Xenopus tropicalis: one gene and its partners. The protein of the gene in region 1 binds, or shares a complex with, the protein of each later gene. Links are inferred from orthologs where the notes say so. Each region holds a gene or a part of one and is shown in the gene's direction. Other genes may lie near its edges. The genes, in order: smc4, ncaph2 and ncaph.

What was found.
Region 2: the proteins of smc4 (region 1) and ncaph2 are in contact, whole or in part, in a cryo-EM structure (PDB 9F5W), measured with the Homo sapiens proteins. The link is inferred for Xenopus tropicalis from reciprocal best matches to the Homo sapiens genes SMC4 and NCAPH2. Residues at the interface, in NP_001002800.1 of Homo sapiens: Ile100, Leu101, Gly102, Pro103, Ile112, Gly113, Pro114, Ser117, Gln1151, Met1152, Leu1155, Phe1227, Lys1228, Ser1231, Ile1232, Phe1235, Tyr1236, Glu1239, Gln1240, Asn1253, Asn1254, Phe1256, Glu1257, Arg1261, Gly1264, Ile1265, Tyr1266, Lys1267, Thr1268, Tyr1269; in NP_689512.2 of Homo sapiens: Arg494, Ile495, Trp498, Glu499, Thr501, Val502, Leu505, Leu506, Gln509, Glu510, His512, Phe547, Cys550, Arg551, Met553, Leu554, Leu557, Gln558, Ala560, Asn561, Tyr563, Val565, Glu566, Ile567, Gln569, Leu573, Glu574, Ala576, Val577, Asp578.
Region 3: smc4 (region 1) and ncaph share a complex: the UniProt entries of both Homo sapiens proteins name them as parts of the condensin complex. The link is inferred for Xenopus tropicalis from reciprocal best matches to the Homo sapiens genes SMC4 and NCAPH.

What each region holds. Positions count from the first base shown.
Region 1 is NC_030681.2:114,765,805-114,769,870, reverse strand, and holds part of smc4 (structural maintenance of chromosomes protein 4), read left to right. Parts: intron 1-948; coding exon 949-1,093; intron 1,094-1,210; coding exon 1,211-1,384; intron 1,385-1,494; coding exon 1,495-1,677; intron 1,678-2,712; coding exon 2,713-2,945; intron 2,946-4,066. UniProt on the Homo sapiens protein: Central component of the condensin complex, a complex required for conversion of interphase chromatin into mitotic-like condense chromosomes.
Region 2 is NC_030679.2:89,417,475-89,422,485, forward strand, and holds part of ncaph2 (condensin-2 complex subunit H2), read left to right. Parts: intron 1-799; coding exon 800-954; intron 955-1,683; coding exon 1,684-1,785; intron 1,786-3,140; coding exon 3,141-3,247; intron 3,248-3,596; coding exon 3,597-3,665; intron 3,666-4,047; coding exon 4,048-4,117; intron 4,118-4,223; coding exon 4,224-4,334; intron 4,335-5,011. UniProt on the Homo sapiens protein: Regulatory subunit of the condensin-2 complex, a complex that seems to provide chromosomes with an additional level of organization and rigidity and in establishing mitotic chromosome architecture.
Region 3 is NC_030679.2:125,116,545-125,121,555, forward strand, and holds part of ncaph (condensin complex subunit 2), read left to right. Parts: intron 1-946; 5' UTR 947-956; coding exon 957-1,192; intron 1,193-2,823; coding exon 2,824-2,920; intron 2,921-3,579; coding exon 3,580-3,672; intron 3,673-3,772; coding exon 3,773-3,911; intron 3,912-5,011. UniProt on the Homo sapiens protein: Regulatory subunit of the condensin complex, a complex required for conversion of interphase chromatin into mitotic-like condense chromosomes.

The sequences.
Region 1 (4,066 bases):
GCCAAGCGAACGGATCTTCACCCGATATCCCCACCTACGGGTGGGCGATATCTGGTAGCAAGGGACTAAAAAAAAAATAATCCGATCGTTTGGCCCTGGGGCCAAACGATCGGATTACATTTGAGCTTATGGGGCAGTCGGTTCGGGGACCGCATCAACGAGCCGATGCGGTCCCCGATCCGACCGGATTTTCTAACCTGGCCAATTTCAGGCCAGGCAGCTCTGTTCTGCCCATACTCGGGCCGATTAGCTGCCAAATCGGTCCAAGGGACCGATATCGGCAGCTATAGTCGGCCCGTGTATGGGGACCTTAAGATTTCCTTCTCCTCCTGTAACCCCCTTCCCTTAGGAATTTGCATTGGCTGTTTACTCCTGGGCATGCTCCGTTTTCTCAGTTCAGATAACACACCCTCCATTCTAGCAGCCAATGAAGATATCCTGTTCTTTTCTCCTAACCTCTTTTCCTCAGCTCAGCTTAATCATTACAGTGCTCAAACAAAGCAGAACTTTTTATCAAAGACCGTTCTACCTGTGTGAGCCTGCATTCTTGATGAAATTTGTGTGTGTGTGCATACTGTTTGCAGATTTAAATGTAACTGATCATGTGTCATGTAAGAGCTTCTATTTGCTTTAGGAAAAAGTGATAGTGCTGGCAAAGGTAGGGGTATATGCAGTACAAATTATGCCAATTGGTTGAGGAAAATGTTCCCAACTGATACACATTGTAGGAAAGTGTGGGCTGTACTTGTCCTTTAAGCTAAAACCAAGCTTAGGAATCAAATGGGCACTGTCTCAAATAAACTCCATAGACTAAAAGTGCTCATCAATGTTCAATAAATTTGTCATTGAGAGGCTTTGCCAAATAATAGGTTGATTGTTGTACTTCATGTATTTAATGCACTGTGAAAGACATGTTGTTTTTAAATGAAAATGCATATGTTCCTCTAGAAACCTTAAAAAGTCAGAGGAGGCAGTTGCACGCACTGAAAAGGAAATTGTAGAGAATGATAAAACTATAGAGGAGCTAACTGAAGACTTGAAACAACTGGAGGAGAAAGCAACGGCAGTAATGAATGAGTGCAAAGAAGCTGAGGTACTGAAAGCATAGATTGCCTTTACTATTAATAATTGGTTCTAAAACAAGACTTCACCATTCTGTACAATAATTAGGAAAGGGAAAGTTAAAGCACTTCTGTTCTTGTATTTTCAGGGCTCCCTCCCAGAGGTTCAGGAACAACATCGCAACTTGCTTCAAGAAATCAAAGCCATTCAGGAAAAGGAACATGCCCTTCAGAAGGAAGCACTTAACATCAGACTTAACATTGAGCAGATAGAGAGTCACATAGCAGAACATCAGTCAAAAATTAAGTACTGGCAAAAAGAGGTAATGTTACCCTTTCTTTTTTTGGTTTCAGATGTTTTTCTGTCTCTATCCAACAATGTTTCAGCTTGTGTACATTGTGTTACATGATCCTTTTTACTTATTTTGTGCAGATAACTAAAATAAGTCTCCATAGAATTGAAGACAATCCAGAGGAAGTTCTTGCTGTATTAGCACAAGAGGAATTGGAAGCAATTAAAGACCCTGATCAAATAATAAACCAGATTGCACTTTTGGAAGCAAAAAGTCATGAGATGAAGCCAAACCTTGGAGCTATAGCAGAGTATAAGAAAAAAGTAATGCAATTGTTGCAATCTGTGTACATTTTAGAGTTGGTTTTTTTTTTTGTTTTGTTTTTGGTTTTTTTGGCAGCCTGAAGCACTAACAAAGACTGACGTTTCGGCTGGTATTCCAACCTTTCTCAAAGGATATATATAATATTGACTTTTGTATATCACTTCATACACCACCTTGCACCAGTAATATCAGGCTTGAGGGCAGGTAAAAGCCCAGTATGCTGAAGTAAATTGTTTATTCAGCCAGGGAGACTTTTAAAGGGTCTTGCCTAATGTGTTTATAAAACATATGTCTGCATCTCTTCTTAACACTTTAGCCCTTTTGTGCTGCATCCCTGTATAGTGTACAAAGTGGCACAAGGAATGAGTTATAAAAATCATTTTTGGTGTAGCCAGTAATGACCCTGTTGTAGCCTGCACATTGCGGGAGGCTTAACTTAATTTGCTCTCAGTATCACTGGATAACTGTATTTTGTGACTTCACCAATACTAAGCACCAAAGTTTGCATTGTTTGCTTGCTTATACAAACGTATTAATCTTTTGCTGGAGGAAGCTGCAGGAAAGGCTTGCTGGTAAGCTAATTAAAAAAGGGCCCATTGTCCTTTAGTCAGAGCTGGAATCGGCTAAATAACTAGTTGACCGTGCAGTGCAAAAGATTGCTATAATCCTTATATTACAATCACATTGCAGTCCTACAGACTGGCTTCACTGCATGTGTAGGTGATATATTCCAAATAATAACTAACACTGCTAGATGTTTTCAAAATAATAGGACCATGTTCTCTAAACTGTGTGAAATCTGCACTAATGGGGAATATGCGTTCTGTATATGTGCCTCAAGTAAAGTCAACAAACTAGAACATCCTTTGAATATAACTAGAAATAGCATTTAAAGCAAGCCTGTTAACTAATTAGTTTTTAGTGAAACGTGCTAATTGAACCAGATGTTAACTTGATGATAACTCTGTTTCTTATGCTCCATTTAAATTCTGAGCTCTAACTCTTCTCCCTTACTTCAATATACTGTTAAATAGGAGGAACTCTATCTCCAACGAGTGGCTGAACTTGATGAAATCACCAATGAAAGGGACAATTTTAGGCGTGCATATGAAGATCTTCGTAAACAAAGGCTGAATGAATTCATGGCTGGCTTTAATATCATTACAAATAAGTTGAAAGAAAATTACCAAATGCTGACACTGGGAGGAGATGCTGAGCTGGAATTAGTAGACAGTCTAGACCCGTTTTCAGAAGGCATAATGTTTAGGTTGGTAAGAAGTTAACCATCTATAATATACTTTGTGCTAATGAATAAATATTTACATCCTTATCCTTTGCTGTAGACCTGTTTAAGCTTAATTAAAATAGAATAGAAAGGGCAGAGTCAGGCTATAAGATTCTATTCTAATTACCTTAACCATGTAAGTGCCAGTAAGAGCAATAGCACCGTGGTTAAATCTCAGTTAATGTGGGCGACTAATCCCCCCCCAAAATGCATTCCTTCCAGCGATAAAGTAAATTGCCAGTGGGAATGCATATGCATCACTTCATTTTCCAGTCAAGTCAAGCTAAATTTCTGCAGGAGACTACATACCAAGATAAATATACCCCTAAATGTAAATAGTGGAGTAAAACATTACCGGTTATGTTGCTCATAGCAGCTAATCGGATGCTTTGGTTTTCTAATAAATGAAATCTAATTGCTGATTGCTTGCCCTTGGGACTTTTTACACAGCATGATAAATGTACCCCTTAGTCTGATACAGACTGATGTGCTTTTAAAATATTTACTCAATACCAGCATACAATAGATCCCATCAAGTTAAATCCCCCATCTATATCACAGTGGCACAAGCACCATTTATTTGATATCTAGAGTTGCAATAGATGATTTTCCTTTTATAGAAATTTGGGTTAGCACTGCTCCTGTGCCTCTTGTATCAGTCAGCTTGCTGCTTCAGAGCAGAAATATTTCTTTGCAGCTGTCAGTATTCAGAAGGCCAATGGGGAGCCCTGTTTGAAGGAGCAGTGTTGTCACTGGCTGGCAAATGAGGAATAGCAAAGCTTCTCCTTCTTCCCCAAAAACCCATTCATGGCCCATGGGTAAAAGCTATGCAGTCTATGTAGTATGCACAGTGCAATATGTAGCTGTGAAAGTTCCCATACACAATATAATTGGCCTTGTATAAACAATATGTGGCAGCAGGTTTCAATAAACAGGCCATTACAGGTTATTTTCCACAGAATCACTGCTCACGCATAGTGTCACTTTACATGAAACCCAATGACACATCCCTAATTCCTTTGTTAGGCAGTATCTGCAAGTGCAGCAGCCAACCACCCCTGTAAAACGTCAACATTTCATGCATGCAATTCAGCCTTCTGTTG
Region 2 (5,011 bases), on another chromosome or scaffold:
GGAGGGCAAGAATGGAGATGCCAACTTTTGGGTCTTCAAAATTAGTATTACAGTGGAGATGTGGCTAACAAGCCCGAGGGCAGAGACTGGTCCGCACAAGTGGTTATAGTACCCCTGTACAAAAGGGGACATGAGCCAACTCGGCATTCCTAGTGATGTCTCACCCTAGTTGTAGGCACAAGGCATAATCAAAAGGGCTGGAGTAAATTATTGAGAAAAAAAAAATAATATTGCACGAAATAAGTATGCGGTAGGCGGAAAAATTGTATCCGCACCATAAGAACAGAAATATAGAAAACCATTAACAAAGCTAGGCTAAGGGCTTTTAAGTAACAAGGTAACCAGGTGCTCATGTCAAATTTGCAACATAGTCTCATCAAAATGTATTAGATACATTAGAGGATTCAGGCTGCTTACTGATATAGTCTCAAAGCGAAAGAGAGAAGCCTAACATCCACCCAGGAGAGGTTAGTGTATAGAAAGGTGTTACAAATAAAAGTACAGACATTATAGAGTAAAGACATATAGGATAAATGTAACATAAAAATAGGCAAATAAGCCAATGTTCATATACTGTATCAAAACAAAAACACCTTATAGCACGACTATGACAGATAGAATGGGGCATATGATATATATATATATATATATATATATTGTAATATATAGTAATATATAATAATATTGTATCCCTCTGGTTCTACACTAGAGTGCAATAGCAGCATGGTGGCTGCTGCTTATAAAAATGTAATTATTCTGCATGCTCTTGCCTGGAAATAACTTATTCTTATCTACACAGCCGTAAAGGGGAGGTCTTAGCCAGCAGGAAGGATTTCCGAATGAACACGTGCACACCTCACCCCAGTGGAGCATTTATGCTAGAACTGGCTGGAAAGTCCCCCATGCAGTTCCTTCAACATATCCAGCATCATGAGGAAGCCAGCCTTGCTCAAGGTACAAAGTGGAGGATTATTGTTTCAGATCAGTAATGTTTGTTAGAATCCCATTGCTTCAGGCAGTGGTAAAACAGCAATGAATGGAAACTACAAAAAATACTTGAACGCTTGTATACTGTAACCTTTTTTTATACTATTTAAAAAAAAAATGCATTTAGGCCAGGACCATTAAAAGTTATTAGGGTGTTTTCTAAAATGCTGTGCAAAGTCTAGCTGTTTTTGTCCTGCTAGCACACCAGTGCTGACCAAAGGCATTTTTTTTCTAAACTCCTGAGAGGAACATCCAAGGGGTTGGAGATCAACATGTTGCTTACAAGATACTGGTTTGGGATCACTGAGGTAAATGGTAGTCTGCCATACAGTGCAATTTAGATATGTGAGACTCCCCTGGGAAACAATAATTATATTACAGTGCTTTTTACCTTTAGGCCCCACCTGTCCTCCGCTGCTAGAAAACTGCATTGCAGCAGGCCCATATTTATGATAGTACACACTAAATCCTTTGTATTCTACAAACCTTATTGAAGTGCTGATAAATAGGGGTCAAATACCATTCATGTCTGTCTGCACAGCTAGAGGATGAGTACATATAGTACATGGGTGAGATTATCATATGAAATTAACCTCTTCTGTGTTTTCAGACACATGTTATAAAATAATAATGTATGGTTTTGATTGAACATAGTACTTCTTGAATGCGGTTCTTCACAGAATCTCTGTCTCTTAGGTGAACAGAATGCAATCCCAGAAGGTGAGAATGATAATATGGAGGCAGAGAAATCAGATTGTGCTGACCCTGTGCAGGTGCTACAGTTCTCTGATGAAGGAGGTAAGACATAGTTATCATCCCAGATTTAAGCTCTAATGTGGATTCTAATACCCATGTTAAAGGAGAAGGAAAGGCAAAGTCACTTGGGGGTGCCAAAATGTTAGGCACCCCCAAGTGACTTTAATCGCTTACCTTTTACCCCAGCTGGTGCCCCTGTTCAGAGAGAACAGCACCAGCCCGGGGTACCTGCAGCGCTTCCTCCTTCCTGTATCGCTGCGCGCATGCGCAGTAGAGTGAAAAGCCGAACTTTAACAGAGAAGTCGGCTTTTCACTCTACTGCGCATGCGCCTATCATATAGTCGCAGCTAAACGAAGGAGGAAGCGCATCGCTACAGGTACCCCGGGCTGGTGCTGTTTTCTTGCACCAGCCCGGGGTTACAAGGTAAGCGATTATAGTCACTTGGGGGTGCCTAACATTTTGCCCCCCCCCCCCCCAAGTGACTTAGGCTTTCCTTCTCCTTTAAGTGCCCTTTACTGTCATAAAGTATAAAAAATGTAGGCCACCAATACTAGGTTCTGTTCGCACATACATACAGATTATAGCTGCTGTATTCTACTAGGTGGAAGACTGATGGCCTCTCAGATATGAATATATTTGCTTAACTTAACACACACAATTATCATGAAGCCCTGCTAAAGTCTTAATTTAGTAGTGCATGAATCCTTACTAATGCAGTAATGTTGAGGTAGAAAGTACGGCCAGCATAAGTACAATAAAGCACATGAATTTAGCAATCCTCCAGTTTAATATCAGCAGCTATCTGGTTGCTAGGGTCTAATTTACCCTAACAACCAGGCAGCAGTTTGAACAAGAGACTGAAATACTAATAGGAGAGAGCATAAAGGTGAGTCATTAAAAGTAACCACAATATCATTTTAGCCTCACAGAGCATTAGTTTTTGAGTTGCTGGGGTCAGTGATGCCCATTTGAAAGCTGGAAAGGAGCAGAAGAGAATGGAAAGTAATAAACTACAAAAATAAGTGACCAAATAAATGGCTACTAAACAGGACATTTTGAAACTACCCTTTAATCTATCTTAGGAAAAATAAAACTCCAAAGGAGCCATGGAGGCTTCATTTGTAAGAAATCTATGTAAGTCTAAAAATTTTCATGCATTTGCATAATTTGGGTGCAGCGGCTAATTCTGTTGTAGACAGGATAGATGAGGTAGTGGGCATAGTAAGGGAAAATGGGGCAGGAGACTTGTCCCGTTTGAGCACTGGAGACCAAAACTGAACAGCATATTCTAGATGGGGCTGTCATGTACTTGAAAGCCTTTATTTATGCTGAGCTGGAGTAGCCCAGTGTTTTCCTCTCAGTTTTAGTAGGTATGTTGTCAATTTTGTTTCTTTAGCACCTGCAGCAGAGAATGGTGATGGGGCTGGATTTCTTCCACTTGATGATCACGATGAAGCCGGTGATGGAGAAGTGGAGCAAGCAGAGCACATTGAGCGGCGAAAGGTGTGCCAATTATGTTTGGCATTTTATAAATAGTTAATTTTAGATTGGGGTGCAGGTAGCTGTTGATTAAATCTGCAGCAGCAATCTTAAGTCAGAGTTATTTCTGCACCTCTCAGCATCTTTTTTATTTCTCTATCTGTCCATCCCAAAAAAAAAAATCAATCTTCTAAAATCTCTGCAGACTTTGCCCATACTGCATACTATTTGGATTTCGCTTTGCATAGATTTGTTGAAAGTGATTATATTTATCTATTTTTCTGTGCATTGTATTGGACAGTCACTTGTTAATGCGCATGCTTTGTTTTCATATTGCCCTGGCTTTATGTATTTTAATTTGTGCTTTCCACAGATGCAGACGGAAGAGAGAGGCTACGTTCTTCGGGAGAGACTTGAACAAAAACCTGCTTCAGCTATTAAGGTAGAGCTGGCCCTGTGCTTCTTCCTTTAAAGGGAAATTATTCCGATAATGAAAATTTAATATAAGATTCATCCCATGGAAACAATCAAAATATAATTGAGACTCCTGCATATGTTCTAAAAAAACAAGTTAGTTTTCAGATGTACTAGACCTAACTTAAAAATCTGACTCCAACTCCTGCAAGAAAGAATAAGAGAAGGATTTCTCATAGGGGAATATGACTATTACAAAAGTGGCACAGAATTTATACTGATTATTTTTAGAAAGTGTGTTTCCATGAGTTAAAGGTTATATAATTTTCTTTTCATTTTTACAATAGTTGCGCTTTAAAGAGATGTGATGATTTGTGCCATTAATTTGTTGTGCTTCTCTATTATTTTAGAATGAAACTTCTGACCCCTGGTGTGGTTTGGATCCTTTTGAGTCCTGTGAAGAAAAGCCATTTAAAAAAGGTGGTCTAAGAGTGGTTTTCTTGTCTTTCAGGCATTTAAAATATTATTTGTGGATACTGTTTACCCTTTTTTGGCTGCTTTTAACCCCATTCCCCTATCCTGTCAGGTAAACACTATACACTTCCTCGAGGTATTGCAGAAGACCTCTCTTCAAACAAGAGAAAGCGAAAGCTACCTTGCAAGCTGCAAGACTTCATGAAATGGTTCTCCTCTACACGTGAGTTTTATCAACTACAATTGAAGTTTGGCAAGGGAGCTAGCCAAAGCTGACCATTTATTCAGATTTTCAGAACAATTGACAAATAGTGTGCATTTGGCCACAAGATCTAATTGATTGGCCATAGTCTTTTCAAGTTTTGCTTATTATTTGTGTCATAATTTTATATAGGGACCCGTGAGCTGGAGACTAAAATGATATAGGGAAGAATTACCCCCAATGCCGCACTCAATTATTAGTCTTAATTTAATTCATTGTCAATGGATAACACAATCAATAGTTACCACCATAGGGACATCGCCACCCGCATGCATATAGACAAAGTTAGAGGAGGGGGGGGGGGGGGGGGAGTCCTCAAGAATGATTTTAAAAAACTAACGGAGAAGTTGAGGGCAAGGACTTCCAAGGTAATTTTCTCAGAGATATTACCTGTGCCACGAGCAACATTAAGCTTAGGGAGATTAATGCGTGGATGAGAGATTGGTGCAGGGAGGAGGGCTTTGGGTTTCTGGAGTACTGGGCTGATTTCTCAATCGGCTACAGGCTCTTTGGGATGGGCTCCACCTCAATGATGATGGGGCAGCTGCTTTGGGGGAGAAGATTGCTAGAGGGTTGGAGGAGATTTTAAACTAGAAGTGGGGGGGGGGGAGGGTGCAGTGGGTAATTCTGTGGTAGAC
Region 3 (5,011 bases), on another chromosome or scaffold:
AAAAGGCACAGGCACATAGCAGATAACAGATAAAACACAATTGTTTTCTACAGAACTTATCTGTTATCTGCTATGTACCCTGTGCCTTTTCTCCTTTTTTCCAGCTTGAATCGCTGCCCCCGTGGCTACACAGCAGCTTATTATATAAATTATAGTAGTGTTACTGTAGCAAACACACCAGTTTTGCCAATGCAGGGCAACAGTGCATTATATTTTTATTACTTTAAAGCTCTTTCATTTTTTAGTGTTACTGTTCCTTTAAGCTGTAAACTCACATTTTAATATATCTTCCCCTTGGTGTTACTGTTCCTTTAAGGGGTAAAGACACACAGAGTTACTAGAAGCAGTTACTTGTCATGGCTACAGAAACAGACAATGCTGATCATATACTGATAACTGTCTCTATGTGTGTTTTAGCATAGGCAATTCTCAGTATTTTCTATGACGGGGTATTTTCTGGCGTTTAGTAGCCGTGACAAGTAGCTGCTAATAAGTAGTTCTGTGTGTCTTCACCCCAAGGGTTAGGATTATAGCAGAGTGTGAAGTACAGTTAGCTGATCAGAGCAAGACCCTGCCTACCTGTGGTGGCACTAAAAAAAAGAAACCTACAATGTGTGTCTGCAGGAGCCAAGATCTCTCCAGGCTTCATTGTATGCATTACAATACGTTGGGCACATCTTTGTTGACCTGTATAGGCATTGAAGTGCAATTTAACTGAGCGAAAATGCAAACACTGTTAGTTAAAGACACTAATGACAATAAGAGATCTTTGCAATGCCCAGTTAAACATCTAATTACAAGCAAAATGCTATATTGCCATTACATTTGTCGGGTATTCTGTGTGCTTGTAAAAGGATACATTCTGTATATGTAAGGAAGGCTGATATTTGTCAAAACAACAAAATCTCTGTATAAGTTGTAGCTTGTAATTCTTTGTATTTTCTAGATAAGACAAAATGAGTACATCAACTCCTCAGTCAGGAGTGCGCAGAAAGCCAGCAACCCCAGACAGTGCTTTTCTGTCCCCAGCCACTAGGCCTCAGCCCGTCAGTGCGGCTGGTACTCCCACTCTGCAGAACTTTACTAGCAATGATGATGAACGGGAAAGGAAACTTCGGCGTATGTCCAGGGTCATTGACCTGCAGCTTAGCAATGCTGATTCCCCTGCATCTGCCATTTCACCAGCTCAAAGGTAATTGACCAGTTATCTAGTTTGTGTGTCTGCTTTAAGGGGCAAAAAAATAAACTCTTTCAGCTGAAGTGTTATAGTGGTACATTAACTTTTTTTTACTCGTGAGCCACACTCAGATGTAAAAATTGTTAGTGAGCCACACTCAGATGTAAAAATTGTTAGTGAGCCACACTCAGATGTAAAAATTGTTAGTGAGCCACACTCAGATGTAAAAATTGTTAGTGAGCCACACTCAGATGTAAAAATTGTTAATGAGCCACACAAGCATGAAAAAAAGTTCTTTGGGGATGCCACTGTGATTGGCTATATGGTAGCCCCATGGGGAATGCTAGCCTGGAGGAGGCTCTGCTTGGAGTAAAACTGTGTCTCTGTGCTTCCAAAACTTGCCTCCAAGCCAGAAATGTAAAAATGGGCACCTACTCTGAGGCCGCTGAGAGCAACATTAAAGGGGGTGGTGAGCAATATGTTGCCCACGAGCCAGTGGTTGGGGATCACTGTTATAGACGGACCTATTCTAAGCTACTTTTCATATGGTCGTTTTTTTGTGTTTTATTAGCCTTCCTATTCTGTTTATTAACAGTCTGCAAATAAAAACGCCAGCTAGTTGTTGGGTCACTCAATTTTATTGTTGTTCTTATTTTTTTATTGATTATTTTTTGTTCAGGCTCTATAGTTCCCATTCTGACATTCAAACTGCTGCCTGGGGTAATTATACCTTGGTAACCAGCTACCAATCCAGATGTGAGGCCCATGAGCCTTAGAACAGAAAATTTAAATTAAAAAAATTGACTATATCCATATTGCCTTAGGAAGCTAATGTTCTCACCAACCCCTAGGAGTAAATTAGTGCTACTGCAGGGAATGTAGTTTATTGTATACAAAGCTGGACAGTTTCAACTAAGTTGGCACACTTGTCATTTCAGAATATAAGCTCTGTATATGTATGTTTTTATTCCATTTCCTTCTTAACATGCTGAGACTTTATGCTTATGTCTCAGAACAGAAATAAAACAAGCAATGGTATCTAACCGAATCCTAATTAGCATATGCTTCCGTGTTAACATGACAAAAAGTCATGTGATTTTTTTGGAATCAAATATGATTCAGCCGAATCCGAAAAAGGCTGAACCCTGGCTGAATACTGAACAGAATTCTTGATTCGGTGCATCCCTAAAAGAAAGGTTAAAATCACTGGGGGTGCCAAGTTGTTTCTAGTGTTGAATGAAGGAGTGTGTATGGCTAGTTCTAAAATCACTAAAGAATTTATATACCAGTCTCTAATTCAAACCACTCCCTGGGAATTTGGACCCTAGCAACAGTATAACTGCTAAAATTCCAAACCAGACCGCTTCTGATCAAAAAGTGAATAATTTTAAAAAAAAAAACACAAATAAAAAATAAAGACCAGTTGCAAGTTGTCTCTGTTGTCAACATCATACTTAAACTAAACTCAAAGGTGAACAGCCCCTTTTAAAATAATTCCACACATTCAAGTGGTAGTAAAAGACAAAACTCTTGTATTAAAGACATTCCTGGACAATTATTGGTTATGTATTTGTTGAAATTCTACAAAAAAGAAACATGTTCATGTCATAATATAAATGTGTTATTTTTTTTTTTGTTTTTTTTAGCAGGGGAATAGATACTCCAACATCTCTACTGCCCAAATTAAGCAACACGCAGATTTCAGATCATTATTCCACCTGCATTAAGCTGTCTCAGGAGAATGTGAGCATTTTACTAATTTAATCTGAAAAAGTCTCTCCTGAAATACTGTTCTAGTTAATTGCTTTGTAAAAATATACGCAGTTTACTGTCTTTTACTTTTATGACTTATTTTTCCCGCAGGATTAGAAGTATTAATTATTTACCATTTTACTTTTAACGTTATTAAGGGAAAAATTGGGGGATGATACAGTTAAAATAATTGTTTTTCTCTTTACATGGACCTGCTATGTCAAAGTAATTTTTACTTCTTTTCTGCAGTGGTGCGCAAACATTTAACGCTTTACTTATAGCAATATTAAATCTTTCTCAGAACTTTTTCTCTATTATACTTTGAGAATATCTATAGCACCTTAGAATATGCACTTGTTGGTCTAAAGCTGACCTATAAGGGCAGACCCATAGTTTGTGGCCATAGGCTGAGTTTAGAGTCTCTGATAAATTAGAAATATTGTATATGCAGGCTATTTTTGGACAGATGGTTAGATGTGTTCTCCTTTAATCATCTTTACTGTCAGCAGTATTGTGATAACATGGGCTGTTTGCTTTATACTTTGTAATGGTTGTGCTTAGCCATCTTATTGTAAGCAATGTTGTAGCTTAACTATCCTATTGGGTCTTCAGTTGCTTTGGTTTGACCTTGTAAAACTGTTCTTCCACAGAAAATAACAACTAAGAATGCTTTCGGGTTGCATTTGATTGATTACATGGGTGACATCTTGAAGCATAAAGACAGCGAATTAACTAACTTTAAAGTAAGTGAACTTGGCTCTCACAGATGCAACTGTTGCTTAGTATTAAAATTTCACACATTCAGTGCTCATTTTGCCTTTTGCTTTTGACACTTGATTTTAGGTTGCAGCTGGGACTCTGGATGCCAGTGCCAAAATATATGCAGTGCGAGTCGATGCTGTTCATGCAGATGTCTACAAAGTGCTTGGTGGGCTAGGAAAGGAATCTCAGGCAACTGAGGACACAGACAACCAGGAAATAGGTAGCATAATGTTATCTGTTTATTTTATATAGCAGAATACATTTTACATAACTCTTTAAAACTACAGTGATGAAATTCACATATATAAGAGAAGCTGATGAAAGCCCAAGAGCCATCAGGCGATAATTAGAATATAAAGTAATCATTTCATGTAGTTAAAGACAGTTACATCAATCTCTGAATGAATGTAAGTTGAAAAGTTGCTTAGAATTACATATTCATTCATTATCCAAGAGCTGCTATTCTGTTCGCTAAAAGATACACGCAAGTCATGTTAAGATCAGAACAAATGTTTTAGGCTGGTGAACAATGGCTTCACTAGTTTAAGCCTGATGATACAGTGTTAAAGAAAATGTTAACCCTCAAAAACAAATTAATGTTACACTGCTCAGAGCACTTTTCTAAGCACTTGTACAGTAATACATATTTTTTTTCTAGATTTCAAGATACACTAAAAAATTAGATTTAAATAACAGTGCTGCCTGCTTGGGTAGTTCTGCTGACATGACTGGCACTCTGGGCAGTATTTCAGATCAATTTGCTGTGTAGAACCCTGCTCTGAGCAATTTTACATTCATTGGTTTGAGGGTGTACGTTTCGTTTAAATGAGTGGCTTTCTTCCCAATATAAATTAAAACCAGCTCTTATTGTCTCTCAGAAAAAATAATTGTAACATATCTTTTCATATGTCTCTTCATATTTTTGTTTAAAACTTTCTTATTGATGCTTCAGAGTGTTATTAAATCTCAGGAGCCATGTTAGCTGTATTACGTCCAATTTACCCACAGACTACTCCACAGAAATTTCTTTCATCATGCAAGTCCTTTCAGGACTTGATGAGGGAAACTGACATAAAATATGTAGTGTATCCACTACCCTGAATAAGTTCATTTGCAGTTAAAGGATAAGTCAACCCAAAATATAATTTTTGCCTAATAAAAGAAAACATAATTTGCAATGGTTTTTTATTAATTGCAATTAGATGTAGTCTTTGCCAGTTCTTTTCTAGTCTCTGCCCTGGTGACTTTTTGAAACAATGTAAGACAAGGCAGCAGCTTGACAGACCTGTCTCAGGGGGATGAGGCCTTTGCAACATTGTT